2 linked regions of the Rhinolophus ferrumequinum genome follow. The protein of the gene in region 1 purifies or fractionates together with the protein of each later gene. This does not show direct contact. Links are inferred from orthologs where the notes say so. Each region holds a gene or a part of one and is shown in the gene's direction. Other genes may lie near its edges.

Region 1 (7,166 bases):
CTACCCCAGCCCGCGGGGAGTCCCCTCCTGCGACCCCCGCCCCTCCTGCTCGTGAGGGTAGGGCTGGCGGCGGCCGGGGGCTCGCGGGGTCTCTACCTTGCCTGCCGAGGGCGCGCGATCCGAGCTGAAGCACGACGCGGGAGCTGAAGCCCGACCAGGGCTGGAGGGGACGGGCCAGGCAGACGCCGCCGCCGCTGGGCCGCCCCGCTCCTGACGACACAGCTGCCCGCCCCTCACCCCCGCCCGCCCGCCGGCGCCAGGCACCCCCAACTCTGGAAACTGCCAGTCTGGAGAAGCCTCAGTTTCTATTTCACCAAACCTCATCCCCCACCCCCTCCCACGACTACTCCAGGGCTCTGGTCTGTGCCACTTTCTCCACATCCTGAGCTTCTCATTTTCTTCCCGCCCCGGGACCAGCTCTGTTTCTATTTTCCCTTCATTCCAATCACTCACAGCTTCTTCCTTCATTCCGACCCTGGAGTCCAAGATAGGAGGCAGGGCTGTTGATGGGATAGCTTGGCCGCTGCCCACCCAGCCAAGGTCTCATCCTCTCCTAATTGCTGCCATCTGGGGACTTCCCTTTCCAACTGCTTTCCATCCACCATTGACTTTTAAATTCATACTCAGGAGATTTCACAGCGGCAAGGCCAGAGTTCCAGACTCCACATCCTGAGACCTGAACAGCTCCCGGACCATGTGCTCCACACTGCTTGACACTACCTGTGAGAATCTGCCCACCTCCAGGTTCTTCACCTCGCGAAAATGTCTCAGACTTGTTTTCCCAAGTCTAAGGACATCTTCTTCTCTCAAGACTCAGATCTTTCCCTTAATTCCTGGGGTGGAGGTTTAGGTACAAAGAACACCCTTTCTTTATGCCCAACCGTCCCATTTTACCTGCTGGCCTTGGTGGGTGGTGTAGAAGGCCCTGGCCAAAAGAGAAGATGAAGGAAGATCCTTCCAGCTTCTCCAGTCTGGAATCTGTTCTGGAGTTAAGGCTCTGGTGGCAGCATGGATGGTGGTGAAGTTGGTAGAGCAAGGTAGAGAAACAGAGGCCTAGGGACTTACTGGTAGGAACTGGGGACCCAGGCATCCTGCTCCCTGGCCCCGCCCCAACACCGTCTAACCCCTTCCTACCCTTCATTGAAGTAGGGCAAGTAACAAAGTCTAGAGTTCCTGGAATCTTCCCTTTTACACCTGGTGGTGGAAGAAAGGGGGAGGGGAGAGCTCTGACTGGAAGGATATATGTGTGTGTGTTGTACACGTCGTGTGCACACACACAAATACACACACAGCCTTTGGTGGAGGAGAAGGAATGAATTCATGAGGACCTCTAGTGGAAACAGGGGGTTCTAAGCAGTTCTTGATTGTTTCAAGACAAGCTTGTTAGAAGAGACTCCTCCATTTTTATCAGAAATACAGCTGCTGAGTAAATTGGGTTTGAGGGTATTGTTGTTGCGTCTGAACTGGAGATCTGAGGCATGGGTTGGAGAAGGTCTGTCTCTCTGCTCCTGTGTCCCCTCCAACCTTAAAAAGACAAGGGCACTGCCACTCCCCATCCTTCATCTCCCCGTCCTATATGACCTCCTTAGTCATAAGGAATCATAAAAACTTTTGAAGTTCTATTTTGCATCAGGTCCTGTACTTAGTTCTGCAGGACAGCCAAAGACATAGTCTAGTTTAGGGGTTGCACCAAAGAGTGGCTTGGGGTGTGTGTGTGTATAGTGTCTCCCCACTCTAAGCCATCCTAAACAAACATATAGTGTAAGTAAAGAACAAGACCCCTAGCACCTCTTCCAATCCGAACCTCTCATCTAGCAATCCTGGAATGATACTCATTCTTAAGGCATCAAGCTTTCCTTGCAATTAACACAGTGATACCACCCTATATGTATGATCTGTGTTTTTCATTCCATCATCCTCAGATATGTTCCAACATGAAGTTAAAGAGGCTCCTTTTAAGACATTTTTGAAACTTCAAAGTGGGACATGAGGTGATCTCTGTAATAAGGAACAAGACAGAATCAGTCATATTCTCTGTGTCTTCTTTAGGATCTGTGCTCTCCATCATACACCAAGTGAGTTGTTGTTGGGGGTGGGGGGAAGAAAGGCCAAGAAACATCTCAGAAAGAGGCGTCTAATGCCTACAGTTCCAGGTGCTCATTTCTTTAATCAACCACATCATAAAAATCAGAAAGAAAGAAACCACAACGAACAAAGGGAAAGGAAAAAACAACAGCCTTCTTCTCCGCAGCCTCTTCTTTCCCCTCTTCCTCCTCAGGTGGGGGGCACATCCGGGCCCAGGGCTGGGTCCCAGGCAGATCTGCTAGGCAGGCAGTTGAGTTTCACTTCCTGTCAACCCCAGAGCTGAGGCAGGATGTCTGGGGGCACAGTGGAGGGCCTAGCGTTGGGTAGTTAACAAGGGCCACTTTAGGATTCCCTCTTGTACAAAGGTCCATAGAGCAGCCCACTAGTACTAATACTCCTCAGGTAGAACAGTCAAGACCAATGTATCCCTCTAGTTTTTAGGGGTTTCATCCCACACTCTCACCTCTAATCCTTCGTAACAGGGCTAAGGACAAGATGCTAGCTAGACCTGGCAGGGATGAAGCACAACTGATGAGAACAGGGGTTAAGGATGGCAAGTGTTAGAACACTTACAATAACTGTGTATTGAATGCAATCAGTTTTTTTTTAGTCTTTTGAGACGTTCTGAGTTGGGCCTCTGGTGGAAGTCAGGGAAGGGGAGCATAGGAAGGCAAGCTGTGACGCCAGAAAACTTCTGAAGCTTAATTTTAAAGCCTTAGGAAGTCCGTAGTCAGCCACTACTCTCAGTTTTTTGTTTTTTAAACTGGGGCACGCAGCCTTCTGTTGGAGATAGTCACTAGTACCCACTTTCATCCTCCTCCCTGGTTTCAGAGGTACTGTTGGGAATTAACCTAAGCCAATGTAAGGGATTTGGGGAAGGTAAACGGGTTGATAAGGAAAAAGCAACGTGGGTGGGGAAGGGCAGAGGTGACACCTGAGGAAAGGAACCTGCAGCTGGCCCCTCCCAGGCTGCAGGGGAAACGAGTTCAGCAGGATTTGGCCCTGAAGGAACAACAGCTATTGAGAAGAACTGGGGAGGGAGCACATTCGGGTTGGTCTAACGAATAAGGAGGCGCAGGGCAGGGCAGGGTTGTAAAGGGAGTGACAATGTGGGCCCGGATTATTGGCAAGTTGCCCCGCTTTCGATCCCGTCGCCCAGAGACTTGTACGAGGTTAATTAGAATACTAACTGGGTCCGCCCATAAGTCTTCACGCTGCCCTCTGACCCTGGGGCCCAGCCCGAAGAGGCTCCTGGGGCCGAAGGCCAGAGCAAACTTAAGCAGTCGTCACTTCGCCGCCTGAATCCCCCGGGCCGCCCCAAGGGCAGGGCCAGGCCCAGGCTTCCTGCCCAACCCGACCCACCACCTGCACGGCATGGAAGCTGTCGGCAACCCTGAGACTGCGGGGACAGGTGACAAACCGGCAGCGCCCTCCACCTTCTCTCGCGGCTCTCAGTCCGGAGGGTTGAGCTGGGCGGCTGAGGGCAGTCCGCACGCGATTTCGACCTGCCCACCTTCTAAAAGAGTAGTGAGGATCTTTTATTAGCCTCCAACAACACTAGTGCGCCCCAGTGCGTTCCCGGAGTTTGCCTGCGCTGCTCCATGCCCTCACGCCGTTTTGGGACCTGAGTGCAGGCCAGAGCCTGAATATTCTTCCTTTTCTCATCTATCAGCCCCCCCTTTCCGGGTGCAGGTGGGCCTTGCCCCCTTTTCCCTCGCAGGTCCTGGTCGGATGAAGAGTGCATGTGAGGAGAGGGGCTGTGCTTAGGAACTTCTCTCGGCGCCCAGAGGACTGCTTTACACGCAGCAGACGCTCCATAATGGTATCAGTGGCAGTAAAAGAGCCCACGGCTTTTATTTTACTAAAGTCTTCAGCTACTATTCCTCCCTTCCTTCTTCTCCACCTCCGGTCATGAAATGGTGTACTCTCTCTTTAAGACTAAAATGGTGGCTTGCTACGATCAGAACTCCACTTCCGGTGGGGAGGGGGCGGGACCCCAGCCCGCTCACGCCGGAAGTGGTTTGCGTTTTCAAGATGGCGACTCCCTATGTAACTGACGAGACCGGCGGTGAGTGCGGGAGGCGCGGAGCCGCTTCTCTCCGGGCTCTCGGGGCAGGGGTTCGGACTTGGAAAGGGGTCTGTGCCCCGCCCATCCCGGGGCCCCTCCTTTGCCCCGCCCTCCGAACCGCCTTCCCCATTCATTCTCTCCCACGGGGTGTCACCTGCGCCCCCTTCTGGTTTCGAGTTTAGGGGTCTCTGCTTCCGGTCACCCAAACCCTGGGGTCCTTCAATGCTGGTCCCTGCTCCAGGACCCTTTCGGGCTCTTAGCTTTTCTCCAGCAGTTGAAGCTTCAATATTTCTTTTGGGTTCTCCAGTCTTGGGGGCTCCTACACTCTCAGTTCCCTCCAATTCCTGTCCTTCCCCTCCCCCCCCTTAGTTATACCTGCTTTCTGCCCTACCACAGCAACGTTTTAATTCTTTTTCTCGAAACTGTATCTGTAGAAGGTCTCATTGCTACATAGTGGTTTTTCCACTTTCTTCCTCATCTTTATTGTTGGGTCACTGAGGTACAGAGGTGTGAAGGGAAGAGAAACGTAATACAACTTTCAGCTGAGTTCTCTCCTTGATGGCCCCACCCTTCTCTACTTTCTTTGGTGATGATGATAGAAGTTGAGGGATCTAAGGTGCAAGAAGGCAAACCAGCAAGGTGTCTAGTGGCCTCAAGCCCTTTGATAATTTGATAGAATCTACTGTTCCTTATCGCTAGTGAAGAATTTCGAGCCTGGCTGATTGAGATGCTGAAGTGTCTGCTGTGTATGTGAGGTTTATGTGTTGAAAACTGAAAAAGCAAGGTTTTCATTGTCGTTTTGTCCTATCCGAATTTCCTCCTCTTTAGAAAAATTTGCATAGTACTGTCTATCCATTGAGGATCAAATAGGGTGGCATATGTGAAGGCAACTTATAAAATGCTGTGCAAGGCAAAGTATTACTCTTAAGTTTGTTTTTCCAGGACCCATCAGCTTCAAGTCAAGTAGTTGTTTCAATCTAGTTGTGGAGGGCACAGCTCACAGTGGCCCATGTGGTGATCGAACCTGCAACCTTGTTAAGAGCACTGTGCTCTAACCAACTGAGCTAAGTGGCCACTCCCACTTTTTTCTTTTTTGTAGCCCTCATTGTGTATATATAGTCTTCTCTGGAAGTGACACTATGTCTGTACTGTGCTACATACGGTCTGTTTTAAAATGTGCCATTTATGCTTCTCGCTTTGCTTTTTTTCATGTTCCTTAACATCCCAAACCACTTCTCTTATATCTAATGACAACAATCCTGTCATTCTCCAACCTCACACTTCAAAGTGGTACAACCTCTCCTCTCTACTCAGTAGGTCCTTCTTCAACTAGCTCCTTTTAATGTGTGCTTTGAAAATATTACTTAATTTCCAGTACACTTCTTTATTCTTACCTGTTTCCTTAATTTGATATAACGAAAATCCAGATGTCACATCTCACCCTACCCTCCCACCAAGGGGTGTCTTCTGTTTTCGGAGACCCATGTGGAAGAGGAGAAGGAATCACACTGCTTTTTTGCTTTCCTTTACTCTTTCCATATCATTGATCTACCACTGTCACTCTAATACTTGTGGACGGTATTGCCATGCAATTACAACATTTTCTCTAATACCCCAGGGCCATCTACTGCCCACAAGGACCCAGACCTATCACATCATTGTTGTTGTTTTTTTTTTTTAATTAGTTTCAAGTGTACAAAACAATGTAATAGACATTTCACCCCTCACAAAGTGATAAACCCTCTCTCCCGATCTATTGCCCCTCTGACATCATATATATCTATTACAATTCCATTGACTCTATTCCCTATGCTGTACTCCATATCCCATGACTATATATATATTAAATTATGGTTGACATACAATATTATTCAGTTTCAGCTTCAGGTGTACAGTGCAGTGGTCAGGCATCACATATTTTTTTCTCTACTCTGTTTCTGGCTCTCATTCTCAGTATCTCCAGCACAGCACCTTTAGGATACTCTGATCTTAAAGTTCTTCAGCATGAGACTATTGACCTTCCTTTGTGTTTTCAAACCAGCCACACATCACAGTCACTACAACTTGGACCGCACCTATGACACTGCTTCCCCTCCATGTGCTTCTCATCACTTATTTTAGCTTCCTTACCGGTCACCCTTTTCACTACCTCACACCCACAGAATCAGCATTTTGCCCTCCTTACGGTTCTCTGATTCTTAACTCTTTTCCACTTCATTGAGTCTACCAGAACCTTCACGACTACCCTTGATGTTGCCCTGGTAGACCTCTAACCAGCTAGTTTGATACTATCCTCATTGTTTTCTTTATTCGTTTTGATCTTCTATACTAAGCAAGCACTTTTGTTATCGTGAATCATACCCATCAATTGTTTTCTGGGCTTCTGCTTCTAGGCCACAGCATATGACTAGAGAACAGGCACAGAAGCTAGCAGGGTCTCTATAACTTAATGTCTGCCAATATGACAGCTTCTCTCTAATTCTTTTTTTCTTGGTTTGCTTACATTCTGCCATTGCTATTTCCCCAACCTTTCCCCTAGCTCTCTGTGACCCTTTTCATTCTACCTCTTGTGGCAGATGACCTCACTTTCTATTTAATTGAAAAATCAAGGCCCTTCATTTCTGTTACTTTCCTGTCCACCGCTTAATTTCTTCAATATCAGGACTATGCATATTATTTCCATTTCCTCACTGCTTATTGGTTCCTTAACTTTTTACAGTTTTTATTTCTACCACCAGCCTCTCTCCTGAGTTGCCAGTTCCCTTTTCTAATCGTGTGGTGAATAGACTTCATTCTTGGATATTCAGTCACACCTCAAATACAATCTGACCAAAATCAGTATCAGTTTTTCCTTCCTTATTTCCTTCCAATTGTTAAAGGCAACAATTATTCTACCCAATCCAAGACCAACATTTTTGCATCATTTCCCTCCCTCTTTCTCTTTTCTTCTTAAAATTTTAAATAGACTTTATTTTTAAGAACATTTTTAGACTTATATTAACAGAAAATTTGA
Region 2 (8,070 bases), on another chromosome or scaffold:
CCAGGAGGGCAGGAAATTTATCAGACATATTTTTTCTCTATTTAAAAGAAACTGGTCCCTGTCCTTTTCCTCCCTTTCCTTCTCCAGGAGACTACTTTGGGCTGCCTGATCACTGTACCAAACCTGCTATCTATCTTTCCAATGGAATTATGAAGGCCCTGGCAGAAATGGCCTTTCAGAAACAGAGAAAACTAAAATTTTATTTATTTACTTTAGATAGCATGGTTATTTATAAAACAGATGGAGGTAACCTGTAACCTTGGAATGAGATCAGATTTAAATTTATGGCAAAAAGTACTATTGATCCCTCCAATTCTCTCTTTGTGATTGCAGTATATTAATTCACTGAAACCATTTTCTAGGTACCAACTAAGTGTCAGGCACTACAGATGTACAGGTCAACCAAACATTTTCTGTCTTTATGGAGCACATAATAGCAATAGAGGAAGACATGTGGAAACATAAAAAAGAATAGATTCTTTTCAGAGTATTAAGATACAAAGAGATCATTTCTACCCAAGAAGATGAGGAATGGGGTCAAGAAAGGCATCATAGGAGAAGTGACCTTAAGCTAAGTCTTAAAAATTAAGTAGGGGTGTCCAAGTTGCTTCAGGCAGAGGAGACACAGAGGCATGGAACAGCATGGGGACTTTAAGGAAGTGCATGTAATTCATTAGAAGGAACAAAAAGCTCAAGGGAGACTTAGCAAGAAATGAGGCTCAATGAAAAGACAGGTTCAATTAAGCACTTTATAGAATACTTCTATTTAATTTCTGATTCAATTAAGCAAACATTTCTTGGTCATTTATTGTGTACGAGGCACTGAGTGCATCATGAAAACTTCATCAGGATGTGTTGCCAGCCCTTTGCAGGCTTGGCATTCTTCAGCCTCAAGCTTTCCAGTGGCCAAAGGGAAATCGTGACTGCTTTTCATATATTTGAGTTGAAGTTTTTTGATATGGTCAATGACAACTAATATAAGGGCCGTGGAATTTTCACAGAAGCACTCCACGTTGTCAGGAGCCTCAGATTTTCTCAACAGTGAGAAAGAAAACTGGAAATGTTGAAGACATGAGTCTACAGAGGTAACCCCAGCACTGTCCAGTCAGGCGTTGGTGGGAATGGGGAGAGGGCACAGGAAGGTGAGCCTCCCCACCTCACTCCCTAACTTTAGCCACACACTCGTCATTTCACAGAATATAAATGGTTAGCAGTTAAAACATTTCAGAGTAAATTATTTACTTTCCCATCAATGCATGAAGATAGAGGATTGCAGTTTTCTCACACTGTATTTTTAGGGTATTGGGGATATTCAGGATATGGAGAACTTAGAGGTAGAAGAATTACAGCTTCAAATTTTCAGTTAATAATTCAGGAAGCTCTTTTCATTCAAGCTATGCACCATGTGCATATTCAAAAATCAGCAGAAACCCTCTGTATTTGCAACACTTTGTGCTATAAAAAGTAATTTTAAAAAGAACCACCTGTATATGTATATATAGATATATTTAAAGACATGAAGGTTTTGATACTTTTTTACAAAAATTACAAGAGAAAACAAATACCTGTACAAACCATGTGTTTTAAAATAGCATTTTGTTCTATACAAGCTGTTGTTAATTTGGGGGTGAAGTACTGGTCTGCAAACTCCATCACACTGTACCCCAATGAATTTTCCTTGTTTGTTCCCCACCCCCTCGCACACACACACCCAAATTACCATATTTGATGTAACAGGCAAACAGGCATGTTAGAATGTTGGATCACACTAACCATTTCTGATCTTTTTGTCTCATCATTCCGAGTTCCGTTAGTTTCTGTACTCAGTCCCCTTTGCAGTCTGGTTTCTCTTCCAGAGGCAAAGGGTGGAGTGTTGCATCTTACTAGCTGTATTGACGTCATCTTGGTGAACTAAAAACCAAGTGTGGACATTTGTAAAATCAGTGCACTGTTTCTAGAGAGACATTAAATTCATTTTTTAAAATCTGAAAGTGTTTCATTGTGATGCTTTAATGAGGGGGGAGTGAACAATCATTGGTTGAGTCCCTAGTGTGGACCTAGTATTATTCTACATAAATTACCTTAATGTTCATCAACGAATCTGTGAAATAAATACTGTCAACATTATCATTCCCATTTTATAGATAAGGAAATGGGTGAAGGAACTGCCCAAAGTCATAGTTATGTTTAGTGCCCCCAAAGTACATGTAGCACATAGCGCTCATGTACATGTGGCATTCTCTGCCTCGATTTTCCTTCTCTGCCTCTTTATCTGGCTAACTCCTGTTTGTCCTTGAGTACTCTGCTTAGGCCTACTCCTCCAGGAAGCATTCTCTCAGACCCAGACCTAACTCATAGGGTAGGGTAATTATGCTTCCACAACAAATTTGGCCTACTTGTATCCCAATACTTCTGCCCTGCTTCTCACCCCCATGCCACTGAGGTTGCTTTTTACCAAGGTCAGCCAGGAGCTCATTGATCATAAATAGTGTAAATACTTTCACTCCTTACCTTCCTAGACCTTGCAAGGAGTATTTAACACTGTTGGCACTCCTTTCTTAGGATACTCTTACTTTGGCTTACATGACACCATACTTCTGTTTTTCCCCCTACCTCTCTGGCCACATCTTAATCTCCTTTGCTCACACCTTAAATTATGGTATTCCAGCTCAAATCCATCCATTTTTGTATCTCCATTGCTACTATTGGAGTACATAAAGATCACCATCATGGATTATCACCATCGTAGATTAACAACTAATCTGAATTTCATACTTCTAATTTTTCCATTTTCCAATCCAATCTATAACATTGTAGCCACAGTAATCTTTCTAGAATACATTAGGTCATGCCACCACCACCCCGTTTTACTTTCCTGCTTTAAAGCCCTTCATCTGTTTCCTTTGTATTAAAATCCAGTACCCTTGGGTTTTAGCCTAAACTACTTAATAGGGCTTGTAAGATCCTCATGATTTGGCTTCTGCCCCTTTCCTACCTCTTCTGTATTCTAATCACAGTTCTGGGCCCTCTGGAACATTTCCTTCAGACTTCCCTTAAGCCCCTAGACTGGATTAGGAGCCACTCCCTGTGCTTCCATAGTATTTTGTGCTTCCCCTATTTATAACCTTGATCCCTACATTATAATTGCTTGTATGCTCAATTGCCTCCTCTGCAAGCTCTATAAAGGTCTGTTTTATTCACCATTGTATTCCTAGCGCATGACACACAGATTAAAACCCAATACCCCGGGGTTTTAGCCCAAACTCCTTAATATGTCTTGTAAGGTCCTTCATGATTACCTGATGTCTCTATATACTTAACTCCAGTTACTACCTCAAGATTTTTATAAGGATTGAAGGAACAAGCACTTGTAAATGGGCTCAGCTTTGGGGCTGACATTTATTAGGTGCTTAATACCTGGTGATTCCTTTCACTTTTTTATACAATTTCCTTGTTACCACCTATATCCAGGATTTTTAAAAAATAAAATGCCTTACGGTTTTATGGTAATTTAGTTTGTATTTTCCAATTTCCAAAACATTGTTTCTTATCCTTGAAAGAGTTCTGCCAGGTATATAACAAGCTCATTTTAAAGATAAGAAATCTGAAGTCCAAAAAATTCAGTAAGTTCACCTTTGATCACAGTGAATCACTATCACACAAAGGATTATTTTAACACTTCTCAAGTGATTTTTTTTTTTACATCACATCACACCCACTTTACACTCTGCTACCAATGCTTTTTCTGGGAGAAAATGAACAATGGCAAGACTAGGAATGAGAATCAGACTATAGGCCTGAATACAAAAATAGTATCCAGTTATAGTTGCCAGGTCCCAAGAATGATGCCATCTCGGCACTGTCTCTAGAACCAGTTCCATTCCCCCTCTGGCTGGAACTTAGGTGAGCTAAAGCAGGGTTCTAGTAATTAGGATTTTGATTGCCCTTTGCCTAATCAAGAAGCAAAAATTTCCCACAGCCAGAAATCCTTCACAGAGGTCAACCAGTTTGGCCTGAAGAGACAAGAACCTCTTGGGCAGTTCTCAACCCTGACTCATCCCGGGAGCTTTGCAAAAAACAAACAAACAAAAACCCCAAAACCCCCCAAACAAACAAAAACCCAAAACCACCCATGTCCAGGTCCACTGCGAGAGATCTTGATTTAATTGGTTTGGGGTGGGGCCCAGGCATCGGTATTTTTCAGATGCTCCGAGGTGATTCTATTGTGCAGCCAGGGCTGAGAAATCCCTGCTGGGTAAGCAGTGCATAGATGTCTGGGGAGTGGGAGATCAAATACTCAAATTACCTTCTACGCACGCACTTCAGAGACCAGTGAGGTAGAACGGGAACGGCAGAAACAAAGGGTAGAGGGAAAATGAGAAATACGTGCGGGCAAGTTCATTCCAGAGAAATGGCAGTCTCCACTATGGGTTCAGGAAAAGCATCTCTGACAAAGGTTTTCTCGAACTGGTCCCTAACCAGCCCAGTTCGGTCGGAGCCAACTTTAGACATATGCATATAGTGCGCTGCGTTCTCCTGTGGGAACGGGTCATTTAACCCCATTTTACTGTTGAGATGACCTAGGTCCAGAGACCGCGAGGCGCCTTGTGCGACGCACACAAGTCCTTTGAATGGAAGTTGAGCCTGAAGGGACGCAGGACTCGGGGTGTTCAACCCAAGGTCTTGAAGCGAGGTCTACACACCCCTCACCGAAGCCCTGAATCCCTTCGTGGCTTGGCTGTCGGCCTCACTCCTAGGAGAACGCCGGCGGGTAAATCTCCGCCTCGTTTCCGCCTCGGGCTGAGGGAACGTGGCTGCACTGACCCCTCCACCGAGTGAAAAGAACATTGTTTCCGCCAGGAGAGACCCGGCAGCCTCAGCCCACAGCCCGGCTCGGGTGCGGAGCGGCGCCTTCGCTTCCGGCGATAGCGTTGACTTGACGTCACTTCCGGGCGCCGCCGTAAACGTCAGTGTTGGGCGCGTATGGTGGCGGTGTGGTTTGGTATTCAAGTTTGGTCTCCGTTACCTGTTGCGAGCCATGGAGAGTGACTTTTATCTACGTTACTACGTGGGTCACAAGGGCAAGTTCGGCCACGAATTCCTGGAATTTGAGTTCCGACCCGACGGTGAGAGCGGCCTCCAGCGCCCCGGGAGCTAGGAGTAGGCCTGGGGGGAGGCCAGTGGGGAGCCCGGGGGTCCGGAATGTGCGGGGAATTAGAGGAACGGACTGATACCTGTGCCGCGCGGATCTAGAAGGAACACTCCTGTGCTCTTCCTGTCCATGTGGAGGGACTTCTGTTTAGTGACATTTTTGACCAGCGTGCCTCATTCAGCAAACACTGATTGAACGCCCTCTTTGTGCTAGGCTGTGTTTCACAATCTGGGATACAGATTGATGTGAATGATAGATAAGCTTCCTCTCTCGTGGAACTTGTACTTCTATTGCGGGGAGAGAAATCGTAAACAAAAAAGGAGTCCAGATAGTGATCTGAAAATAAAGCAAAACGATGGAATTGCTGGTGGGCTGCTTTTAGATAGAGTGGCCATTGGAGAGCTCTCTGAAGAGGGGATGTTTGAACTGAGCCCTGTTTGACAAGAAGGAGCCCCCCTTATGAGGCTCAGAAGGAAGAGCATTCTAGGCAGAGGGAGGAACAAGTGTCAAGGCGGTAGGGCAGGGATGAACTAGGCATATTTCAGGTGACCAATATGGTTGAGAGTAGTGACCTCTGGGGAGAATAGTAGGAGATGATGTGGGATAAGTGGCAGGGGTCACACCATGTAGGTCTTTATAGGCCATGGTGAAGAGTTTGGATTTTATTCTAAGTGCAACAGGAAGCAACTGGAAAGTTAAGCAGAGAAGAGATGTGATCTGTGCTTGAGAAAGTATGCTAATTAGTGGGTGCAGAATAGGCAAGAGTGGAAACAGGGCTACTTATTAAGAGACAGTTAACAATTGTCCAGACAAAAGCGATGTTGGTTGGGTGGTAAAAATGGAGAGAAAAATTTAGGGTACTTTTGGAGGACGAACCAATAGGACTTTGTAAATTACATGATTTAGGGAGGGGCCACAGTGGTGAAGGAAAAGGAATAAAAAATGACGGAAAACTCCCACTAAATGGGGGCACAAAGATGAATCTGACAAGCTGAATTTTATGAAGGAGATAGATTTTTAAACAATGATAAGACAGTATTTTAGGTGCTGTGGTAGAAAGAAACAGAAGGGACTCTGGGAGTAGAAAGAAGGCATCTAATCTAGCCTAAGGGTTCAGAGCAGGCTTCTGGCATAAAATAACTTGGGGGCGGGGGAATGTGTCTTTAGTGGCTGTAGGAGTTGTTTAGGCAGATGAGACTCAAGAAGGTATTTTTGGACTGCATTTAAGGCAAAGAGAATGAAAACCAAAAAGTGCATGGGATGTTTCAGGCAGAAACCAAATAGTCCGATTAACTCCAGCTATGGGAGAGAGGACTGTTGCAGGAGTGAGCCTGGAAAGGCAGGGCAGGGGGCTCAGCTTAACAGTATGCCATGTTAATTTGGATTTTATCAAGAAGGCAGTGGGAAGCTACTGTCCATATCACAGTATTAGGAGTAACCTAATCAGATCTGTCTGTTACTACATCAGTTTGTCCACTATAGGGAGAATGAACTGAAAGGACAGACTTGAGGCAGAGAAACAGTGCAGTGAGGCATCAATTAATTTGGCTCTTTTTACATGTGTGCCTTCTATTCTATGGGGAAAAAAATCACCTCTTCTGTTTCTTTGTATCTTCTCCTTCATACCCACCATATACCCAAATTAGCCCGTTGAATGCACATATGCACAAAGGGCCTTATAAACCAAATGTGCTAAATAATAAAACAACTTTTCCATCATAGGAATAGATCAGAATATTGCACAGTCACATGGTAATATATGTAAACAGTATTTTACAGTTTTCAAAAGGCTTTCACAACTCATTTGAGCCTCTGGAGGCTCTCCGTGTAGGTAAGTTCCCAGTTACTCTCCCTGTTTTCAGCTGAGATATGACGTGCCTGTCACAAAAGAGTCTGCCTATGTTCTTTTATCACATCTGAGCTACCTTTTGCAAGAACTGTAATTCATTGTCAGCTATATTTTTGGCTATGAGGCTATTTAATAGCCTGAAGTGAAGAATTGAAAAAATTGTTACTGTTGAAACACCAGAGGTGTAAATAGTTAATCTGGGTGTCGTGCTCCTAATGCTGAGGTTGCCCATTCGATTCCCACATGGGCCAGTGAGCTGTACCCACCACAGCCAAGATTGTGAACAACGGCTCTCCCTGGAGCTGGGCTGCCGTGGGCTGCCGGAGGTTGGCTTGGGCTGCTGTGTGCTGTCAAGAGCAGCCGGTGGCCAGTGTGAGTGGCCGGCAGCCAGCAAGAGGTGCACTGAGCTGCTGTGAGAGACCGACCAACGACCGGCAACCGACTGCCTCAGCCAGGCGGGAGCACAAGGCTCGTAATACCAGCATGGGCCAGGGAGCTGTGTCCTATACAACTACACTGAACAACGGCTTGAACCGGAGTTGAGGGGGGAGGCAGAAAAAGGGGGGGGGGAGTAAATCTGTTAGACACTTGAGGGGAAAGTTAGGATACATTTTAAGCAACAGCTGATTGTCTTAGTAGGCTAATGATGTTTTATTCATGTTTTTATTATACATTGAATTTGTTTTTTGCCCCTCATAGGGAAACTGAGATATGCCAACAACAGCAATTACAAAAATGATGTCATGATCAGAAAAGAGGTAATGAGTCTTCTGAGAGCCTTTCATTCACTACGACTTAGCCTTTTGTCTTGTTTTTGTTCTTTCTGGGAGTAGTATTGAAAGATAAAGAATAGGGAAGTATAGAGTTTGTAGACAGCTTCTAAAGTTTTTCTCAAATCTACTTTTCATTTATATTTTGTTTCACAATGCTGAATCAATTACTGGTAATCATTTGATGTCTTGCAAATCTCGGTTTGAACCCTGAACCTACTACTTACTAACCATGTAACCTTGGGCAAATTCCCTGGCTAAACTTGATTAGTCTCAGTTTCTTTATCTGCAGAAACAAA

Evidence for each region.
Region 2: the proteins of PYM1 (region 1) and MAGOH purify together in Homo sapiens (co-immunoprecipitation; 8 studies listed by BioGRID and IntAct, counting the BioPlex papers as one, with this or other methods). This does not show direct contact. The link is inferred for Rhinolophus ferrumequinum from reciprocal best matches to the Homo sapiens genes PYM1 and MAGOH.

The regions. Positions count from the first base shown.
Region 1 is NC_046293.1:55,336,128-55,343,293, reverse strand, and holds the start of PYM1 (partner of Y14 and mago), read left to right. Parts: upstream 1-3,933; 5' UTR 3,934-3,996; coding exon 3,997-4,153; intron 4,154-7,166. UniProt on the Homo sapiens protein: Key regulator of the exon junction complex (EJC), a multiprotein complex that associates immediately upstream of the exon-exon junction on mRNAs and serves as a positional landmark for the intron exon structure of genes and directs post-transcriptional processes in the cytoplasm such as mRNA export, nonsense-mediated mRNA decay (NMD) or translation.
Region 2 is NC_046292.1:38,088,200-38,096,269, reverse strand, and holds the start of MAGOH (protein mago nashi homolog), read left to right. Parts: upstream 1-4,947; 5' UTR 4,948-5,038; coding exon 5,039-5,126; intron 5,127-7,700; coding exon 7,701-7,759; intron 7,760-8,070. UniProt on the Homo sapiens protein: Required for pre-mRNA splicing as component of the spliceosome. Plays a redundant role with MAGOHB as core component of the exon junction complex (EJC) and in the nonsense-mediated decay (NMD) pathway.